Linked DNA regions of Rattus norvegicus. The protein of the gene in region 1 purifies or fractionates together with the protein of each later gene. This does not show direct contact. Links are inferred from orthologs where the notes say so. Each region holds a gene or a part of one and is shown in the gene's direction. Other genes may lie near its edges.

Evidence for each region.
Region 2: the proteins of Ksr2 (region 1) and Map2k2 purify together in Homo sapiens (affinity purification with mass spectrometry; 3 studies listed by BioGRID and IntAct, with this or other methods). This does not show direct contact. The link is inferred for Rattus norvegicus from reciprocal best matches to the Homo sapiens genes KSR2 and MAP2K2.

Annotation. Positions count from the first base shown.
Region 1 is NC_086030.1:44,846,078-44,849,985, reverse strand, and holds the start of Ksr2 (kinase suppressor of Ras 2), read left to right. Parts: upstream 1-1,430; 5' UTR 1,431-1,876; coding exon 1,877-2,056; intron 2,057-3,908. UniProt on the Homo sapiens protein: Location-regulated scaffold connecting MEK to RAF. Has very low protein kinase activity and can phosphorylate MAP2K1 at several Ser and Thr residues with very low efficiency (in vitro).
Region 2 is NC_086025.1:9,243,753-9,247,560, reverse strand, and holds part of Map2k2 (dual specificity mitogen-activated protein kinase kinase 2), read left to right. Parts: intron 1-229; coding exon 230-307; intron 308-1,011; coding exon 1,012-1,063; intron 1,064-1,133; coding exon 1,134-1,258; intron 1,259-1,370; coding exon 1,371-1,584; intron 1,585-3,112; coding exon of another isoform or gene 3,113-3,115; coding exon 3,116-3,180; intron 3,181-3,808. UniProt on the Homo sapiens protein: Catalyzes the concomitant phosphorylation of a threonine and a tyrosine residue in a Thr-Glu-Tyr sequence located in MAP kinases. Activates the ERK1 and ERK2 MAP kinases.

The DNA of each region.
Region 1 (3,908 bases):
CTGGAACTCGCTATACCGATAGACCAGCAGCAGGCTGGACTCGAACTCCTAAAGATCCACCTGCCTCTGCCTCCCTAGTGCTAGGATTAAAGGCGTGAGCCATCCCATTCGGCTAAGAAGAAAGCCTGTGTCTTTTATTAATTTATAGAAATGGCTCAGTGAGTACGGACAGCTCAGTTCAATTCCTGGAGCCCAGGGTGGAAGGAGAGAATTGTCTTCACTAACTGGGCGCTAACTTCGCCCACACGCTGTGCTGCACGTGAATCCCCCACCCCATTAATTAATAAAAAGCGTATCTATATCAGAGGCACTCGGTACAACTTTATTAACTACATAGTGAAATTTTAAAATTTCATATATGATTCCCCTTTCTTGTCACAAAGTATCCTCCCCAATCCTCAACTTCTTTAAAATGTACTGGCCGTTCTTTACTCTGGTACCGTAGGTGACTGACAAAGGTCAGGGTCGGTAGTTGAAGTTAGATTCCACAAGCCCTTGTGGGAGCAAGGCAAAGCCTCTGTCATCCTGCGAATGGACCTCAGCTAGATCAGGCCCAAGTAGTTGTCGTCCCCACCCGTCCCAATTCTGGGAAAGCCATCAAGGTTGGTTTCCCGCACCCTCCAGCCCACCAAAGCCACAAGAAGCCACCCGCAAAGCCAGGAACGGTGCACAGAGTACAGCGAGGCGAGCGCGCACCTGCTCCCGGGTCCCCGCGCACCTGCTGAGTCGCGCTCGGGCCTCGTCTCGCGAGATCCGGGCTGGCGTAGTGGCCCCCACCCCCACCCAGGCCACCGAGTACCTCTCCCCGCCCCCGGGCCGGGCCTCCCCGCTACCTCCGGGACCAGACCGGCCCCCCTCCCAGCCCCCACAGCATCGTAGCGGCTGCGCTCCGCACGCAAGCCCCTCAGCCCCAAGGGACCCCCGCCTCCCCGGCTGGAGGGTGGCCCGGCGGGCAGGTGCACGAGCCGCCTGCCGCCAGCGGGTCCCAGGCGCGCCCAGGGTGGGGGAGACCCGGGCACCGGCTGCGCGCACGGCGCCTCTCCGCGCTGCATCCCTCGCTCCGCTTCCCACCCCGCCCTGTGATTGACAGGCAAGATGTCGGTGTGGAGCGAGGCAGGAGCAATTGCAGCAGCCGTCCCCCCTGGAGCCCGGTGGCGGCAACAGCAGCAGCAGCAGCAGCAGCAGCAGCAGCAGCATTGTCGCGGGGAGCAGACCGCAGCCAGCCGCAGTGGGCACCGCAGCCGCGCCAGCCTTGCGCACAGCATCCCGAGAGCGCGCTGAGCGCGGGGACCCGCGGACCATGCCGTGTCACCGCGACCGGGAGGGGGGCAGGCGCGCTCCTTTTTGACATAAAAGCCAGCCGACCAAATAGATTTATATACATATAATTCCGCCCTTCACGGAGCCGGTGTGCGAAGCGTGAGCTCTATTTCCCTCTTCCTCCTCCTTCCACTTCTCCTCCTCCCCTTCCTCCTCCTCGCCCTCCTCCTCTTTCTCCTCCCCCTCTCTAAGTGTACAGACTGCACCCTACCACCTGGTTGGCTTCTGACAAACGGGCATCTCTCCCTTTTTAGGGACCAGGGACACAGAGAAAGAGAGAGGAGAGAGACAAGGGACATTCTAATGCAGACTGCCTGATACTCTACCCCCGCCCCAAATAATAATAAATTTTGGCTCTTGTCCCCTCCTCCAACCCCCACCCCCTCAAGCTTGTGTGAGATGTTGGGTTTCTTCAGGAGACACTGCTGAGAAGTCGCAGAGGTTGGGGAGGCGTAGGGGGGGTGGACTCCCTCTACCTCCACTCCTTCCCTCCCCCTTTTTTCTTTCTGGGAGGAGGTGGAGGAGGAGGAGGGGAAGGGGGGTTGCAGAGCAAGCTATGGATGAGGAGAACATGACGAAAAGCGAAGACCAGCAACCTCTGAGTTTGCAAAAAGCCTTGCAGCAGTGCGAGCTGGTTCAAAACATGATCGACCTGAGCATCTCCAATCTAGAAGGGCTTAGGACGAAGTGTGCAGCTTCCAACGACCTCACGCAGAAGGAGATCAGGACCCTGGAGGTAGGTGTTGCCTGCGGTGGGGGGTGGGGGCAAGCCTTCCATCCCTTCCCCTTTTCCAGTCTGTCCCCTTCCCTTTGGGGTTCTGTGTGCTGACGGAGGGCCCGGGGAGGGGAGAGGGTAACGCAGGTGGGCACGAATGATGCGCTATGATTTATCACCTGGCAAAGCCAGCGCCGATGTCTCTTCGCTTCCCAGTGTGGCTGCTGTCTGTGCTCGGCCGGGTGGTGGTGGGTAGCAGTAATAATTGGTGTGCCGTATTGTTGCCATGATTATTCTTTTCTTGTGGGAGGAGGGAGTTATTGTTATTGTTGTTATTATATATTCTCTCTCTCTCTCTCCTCTCTCTCTCTCTCTCTCTCTCTCTCTCTCTCTCTCTCTCTCTCTCTCTCTCTCTCTCTCTGGGATTTGTTTATATGCCACGGGGGCTTGAGCGCTGGGTGCTATGTTAAGGAGCTGCAGGAAACCCACGTGACCTTGTGTGTTCTGCAGGTGGTCAAAGGTGGTTTTGACTGGTTAGATGGGGCTGCCAGAATGGATTCAACCTTTTGCTCTGTGTCTCATCCCCCACCTCACCTCCCCCAACCTACGCTTAGAAAAAATCCCCAAGGAAGTACCTATTTCTAAAACAATCATTTGATGTAAAGGGGGGGGGTTCTCTTTGCAGGCCCAAAATGTGTAAAAAGAAACAATGTTACAGTTGCCTGGAGTGGTTCTTGCACTAGGTGGCGTGGGGAAAATGCTCTTGGGCTGTCTTGGTGAGACTTGGCGGATAGGGGTCCAGGAGAAGGAGTTACATTTGGCTCCTTGTAGCATCCTCTCTCTCTCTCAGACAGAACTTGAGGGGAGTCGGGAGCAGTTCACTGAGAGACTGTGATAGGGATGCTACAAAGTTACCACAAAGAAATGGAAGGAGCTATTTTCCTTCAAAGGCCATCTTTTTTGCCCCCAGAGGATGCTTTCAGGGTTTTGTGAACGGCCTGATGTACTGAAATCCTCCCGCACCTACCTCGTTCAAAATGTCAGACCGATTCAGCCCCTTCACCTTCCTTCCCTCGAAGGTCCAGCTGTCCACATTGCTTGATTTAATTTGGGAATTCCCACTAGCTGGCCTTTGCCAGAAAGTGGTGACTGTGGAGCTCAGAGCAAAGGAGGGTTCCCATTGGCATGGCCGTGCATCATGGAGCTGGATGGTTCAGTTGGCCTCTGGCTTGACTTGTGAGTTCCTGAGCCTGAAGTCTTTCTTCAGTCTTGGCTGACCAGGTCATCTGCATGAACACACCTCTTGGATGTATTCATTTGTCAGGCCTTTTTTTTCTCCTCGATGATTTTAAGTTTGGCCCTCCTGGTGTCTGTATGCAGGAGACTATGGTTTGGAAAGAGGAGTTTGTGTGCGTGGATATTTAAATACGGTGCTTACTGCCCTTGGATATATGTCTGTGCTCACCTGTCAAGTGGGAACATGAACCCCAGGGATGAAATAAGATAAATGTTAAAGTGGGATGTGCGTTGGGAGGCCTAGGCATTGCCTTTCTTAGGGGGTGGGGGAGAGAGAGAGAGAGAGAGAGAGAGAGAGAGAGAGAGAGAGAGGAGTAGGAGTGTTTGACTAGCGGTTGCTGCTGGAAGAAAAGGGTTGGCTAAGGTTTGCTGCTGGAAGTTTCGGGCTGTGGTTAGCCCAGCCCCTATCTCTGCTGCACAGGACCCAGAACAGACTCGGTTCAGAACTATACTTGGGAAAGTTTACACAGATAACCCCTGAGAGCCACCACTCCCACCATGTCTCTTCTACACCCTGTCACCAAAAACTAGGCTGACTTTTACAGACTAAGTTGCCCAGAGTTTCCTTCTGTTTCTT
Region 2 (3,808 bases), on another chromosome or scaffold:
TGTTTGGTCTGCCCAAGGACTTTCTGTGTTGTTCCACACAGTCCCTGATGCCAGGGACTGGGCTTTGACAGAGGTGGTTCTGTCACTCAAGCTCAAAACTCTCTGCCTCCCAGGCCATGCGCCTGCTGGGAACCTGGGAGAGCAAGGGCAGCTGGGGCTGATAGGGTAAGCCTGCCTGAGTTCTGGGTTGGTCTTCCTGACAAAGCCAGCTGCTGTCATCTCTGTGCAGGACGGTGGCTCACTGGACCAGGTACTGAAGGAGGCCAAGCGCATTCCCGAGGACATCTTAGGGAAGGTCAGCATTGCGGTAAGTTCGTTGGCTGCTGCTCCTTTTTGGGATATCATGTCCTATCCCCATCTACTCAAGGTTCTCTGCCAGCCCCACCATGGCCTGTGTGTGGCCTGTGAGCACTCCTTTCTTCCCCATATAAAAATGACTGTGTGGGGCTGGAGAGATGGCTCAGTGGTTAAGAGCACTGACTGCTCTTCCAGAGGTCCTGAGTTCAATTCCCAGCAACCAGATGGTGGCTCACAACCATCTGTAATGGGATCCGATGCCCTCTTTTGGTGTGTCTGAAGACAGCGAACTCATATATAATAAATAAATAAATAAATCTTGGAAAAAAAAAAGTGCCTATGGTGGAGCCCAGCATGACGGTGTGCACCCATCCAGCACTCAGGATGGGCAGAGCAGCCTGGTCTGCACAGTGAGTTCCAGGTCAGCCAGGACCACAGAGTAAGACCCTATCTTAAAAGAGGAAATAAAAAATTCCAGGGATGGTGGCACATGCCTGTCACCTTAACAGCTGAGGGGAGGAGGGGTTGACACAGAATTGTGGTGAGTTTGAGATAGCCCCAGCCCCTCACTTTGAAATGCAGACAGTGACCATGTGCTTGCTGCAGGATCCTGTGTAGGACTTGGGGACATGTGTCCTGTGGCTGGGGAGGCTCGTCATGGCCTAATCCTGCCGCCCTGGACTCATAGGCTACCCAGATCTGACCTCCCTACAGGTGCTCCGGGGCCTGGCGTACCTCCGCGAGAAGCACCAGATCATGCATAGAGGTAAGCTGGTCCAGGCTGGTGTGGGTGGGACACAGTGGGTGCAGCCTCACCCCTGTGACACTGTCTCCAGATGTGAAGCCCTCCAACATTCTGGTGAACTCTCGTGGAGAGATTAAGCTGTGCGACTTCGGAGTGAGCGGCCAGTTGATTGACTCCATGGCCAACTCATTTGTAGGGACACGCTCCTACATGTCCGTGAGTATCCAAGCCCTTTGTGTACACGCATCCTCAGTGGGGTCTGTCTGTGCTTGTGTGTGGCCTCTACCCTGATGCTACCAACCCCAGCTGTGTCCTGTTTCTTTGACAGCCAGAACGGCTGCAGGGCACCCACTACTCTGTGCAGTCGGACATCTGGAGCATGGGGCTGTCGCTGGTGGAGCTGGCCATCGGGAGGTACCCCATCCCCCCACCTGATGCCAAGGAACTAGAGGCCAGCTTTGGCCGGCCTGTGGTGGACGGGGCAGATGGAGAGCCCCATAGTGTCTCACCGCGGCCCCGGCCCCCTGGACGCCCCATCAGTGGTATGGGACATGACAGGAGAGGGATGGGTGGGGGCTCAGCTGCCACCCTGATGGCCCTCTCTGTACCAGCTGTCCCCTGGACAGGGCTTGCTGTGGTCAGCAGTCCTCAGATGGTCCAGGGCTTTCTGGGGACAGAGCTACAGGCTGCACGATGTCATTCTCTGTCCAGGGCAGCTGCACCTGTTGCTGCCAGCTGGGCGCCGGGAAACTCCACTGGAGCTCAGGCCTTGGCTGCTGCTGGGTTTCCCAGGCATTTCTGCAGGATGCGTCAATTGGGGTTGGGGTACAAAGGGAGCCAGCCACTGCTTGCAGCCTACACATCTGTAGTCTAGTATTCAGGAAGCCCCAGATGCAGGTGATCTGGTGACACCCTGTTGCCTTGGAGGCACAGGGAGCACAGGTTGGAGAGAAACTCATTTCCAGGGGACCTGGGGAGGCAATCCAACCCTTGGAATGGCTGCCTTGGCTACTAAGGGGCAGGAACACCGTCTTGGTGTAGAACAGAGCCTCTGTAGAGCACCGACTTACTGGGATTTATGTCAGGGAATGGGTGGCTTTAACTGCGGAGACACAACAGAAACAAACGCTACCCTTTGCTTCCTGAAAGCCCTGTAGACCAGTGGTTAGCACAGCCACAGACGAGAGTGTCCGTTACCTCTGTCTGGTTCTTTTTTTTTTTTTTTTTTCGGAGCTGGGAACTGAACCCAGGGCCTTGCGCTTCCTAGCTAAGCGCTCTACCACTGAGCTAAATCCCCAGCCCCCTCTGTCTGGTTCTCTGGTTCTTGAACATTCAACCACGCCTAAACAAAGTCCCATTCACACATGTGCATGCTTTCGCGCTCTCTCTCTCTCTCTCTCTCTCTCTCTCTCTCTCTCTCTCTCACACACACACACACACACACACACACACACACACACACACATCCCTCGCTCACTCACTCACTCGCTCTTACCCTGCTCCGAACCTTCCCTGTAGTGGAGTCTGTACTATATATATAACCTTTGTGTCTGGATCTCACCAAGCACCATGGCTTGGAGGTCCCTGCATGTGGCTGGCCCCGTTCCCTCTATGTGTTCTCAGTGTGTGCTGTGTGTACTTCACATACCTTAAAGGAGCAGAGAGCCCCTCCCCACCCTGTGCCAGCACAGGCTGATCACCCTGACCCCAGGTCTCAGAACATGTCTCAGATGGCCCCAGTCCTTTGGCGAGCTGTGGTGACACCAGGCCAGCCCATGGGCTGGTGCCTCTCCTGCCTAAGTCCCAAAGCAGCCTATGACAGGACGGGCAAACAGCACAGCTCAGCAGCTGGCCGTGGGGCCTTGGGCAGGGGTCATCATCCTCCTGTTCCAAATACCAGCAGCTGCTCTGTAAGGTCACATTGGTGTCCCTGCTGTGTTGCCAGTCCCCTCCCCAACCTGCAAAGCTTCCTCCAGCCTGTGAGTGCAGAAGTGAGTCCTGGCAGGAGGACCAGAGTCACTCTCTTGAGTTTTGTAGCCCCCACAGTTGTGTGTTCTTTGTACTGTCAAGTAGGTCATGGGATGGACAGCCGACCAGCCATGGCCATCTTTGAGCTGCTGGACTACATAGTGAATGAGGTGTGTGCCCTTGGCCTTCAGGTATTCGCTCCTGGAACTGGCTGGTCCACCCTGGATGTGTGGGGTGGGGGTGTGGGCTGCTCCTCTGCGGTCCCAGTCAGTGGGAAGCTGTCATTGTCTCCATCATGCTCGGCACCCAAGTTACTCAGCAGCTCAGTCAGGAGGCTTGCATGGGAGGTCAGTGTGGGCCAGCCTAGGCTAGTGCTGTGGCTTGGCTGGCTGCCCAGGAAGAAGGCTGAAGGCATGGGAGAGCTCCTGCCTAGAATCCTCCCATGAGAGGTGAGGGCCTGGGTCACATCCACAGACACAGAAGGGGGTTCCTAGGGCAGACTTAATTCCAACCTAGTACCCTTGTGTGAGAGGCTGAGGCAGGATTGCCTTGGGATGAGTCACATAGTAATTTCCAAAACAGTCTTAGCTCCAGTGTGTGTGAGTGACCCTGACTCAAAAGCAGCCAGTGATGGAGCAACAACAATTCAAGCACGTCTCCAGAAGGGAGACAAGGTCACATGTGACTATGCACGGATGTACCCAGGAGTGAAGAACACTAGCATAAGATGGCCTTTGTGGCCTATGACAGGGCTACCACTGTTCCTGGCATTGACACTCTGGGGCCACCTTCACAGGG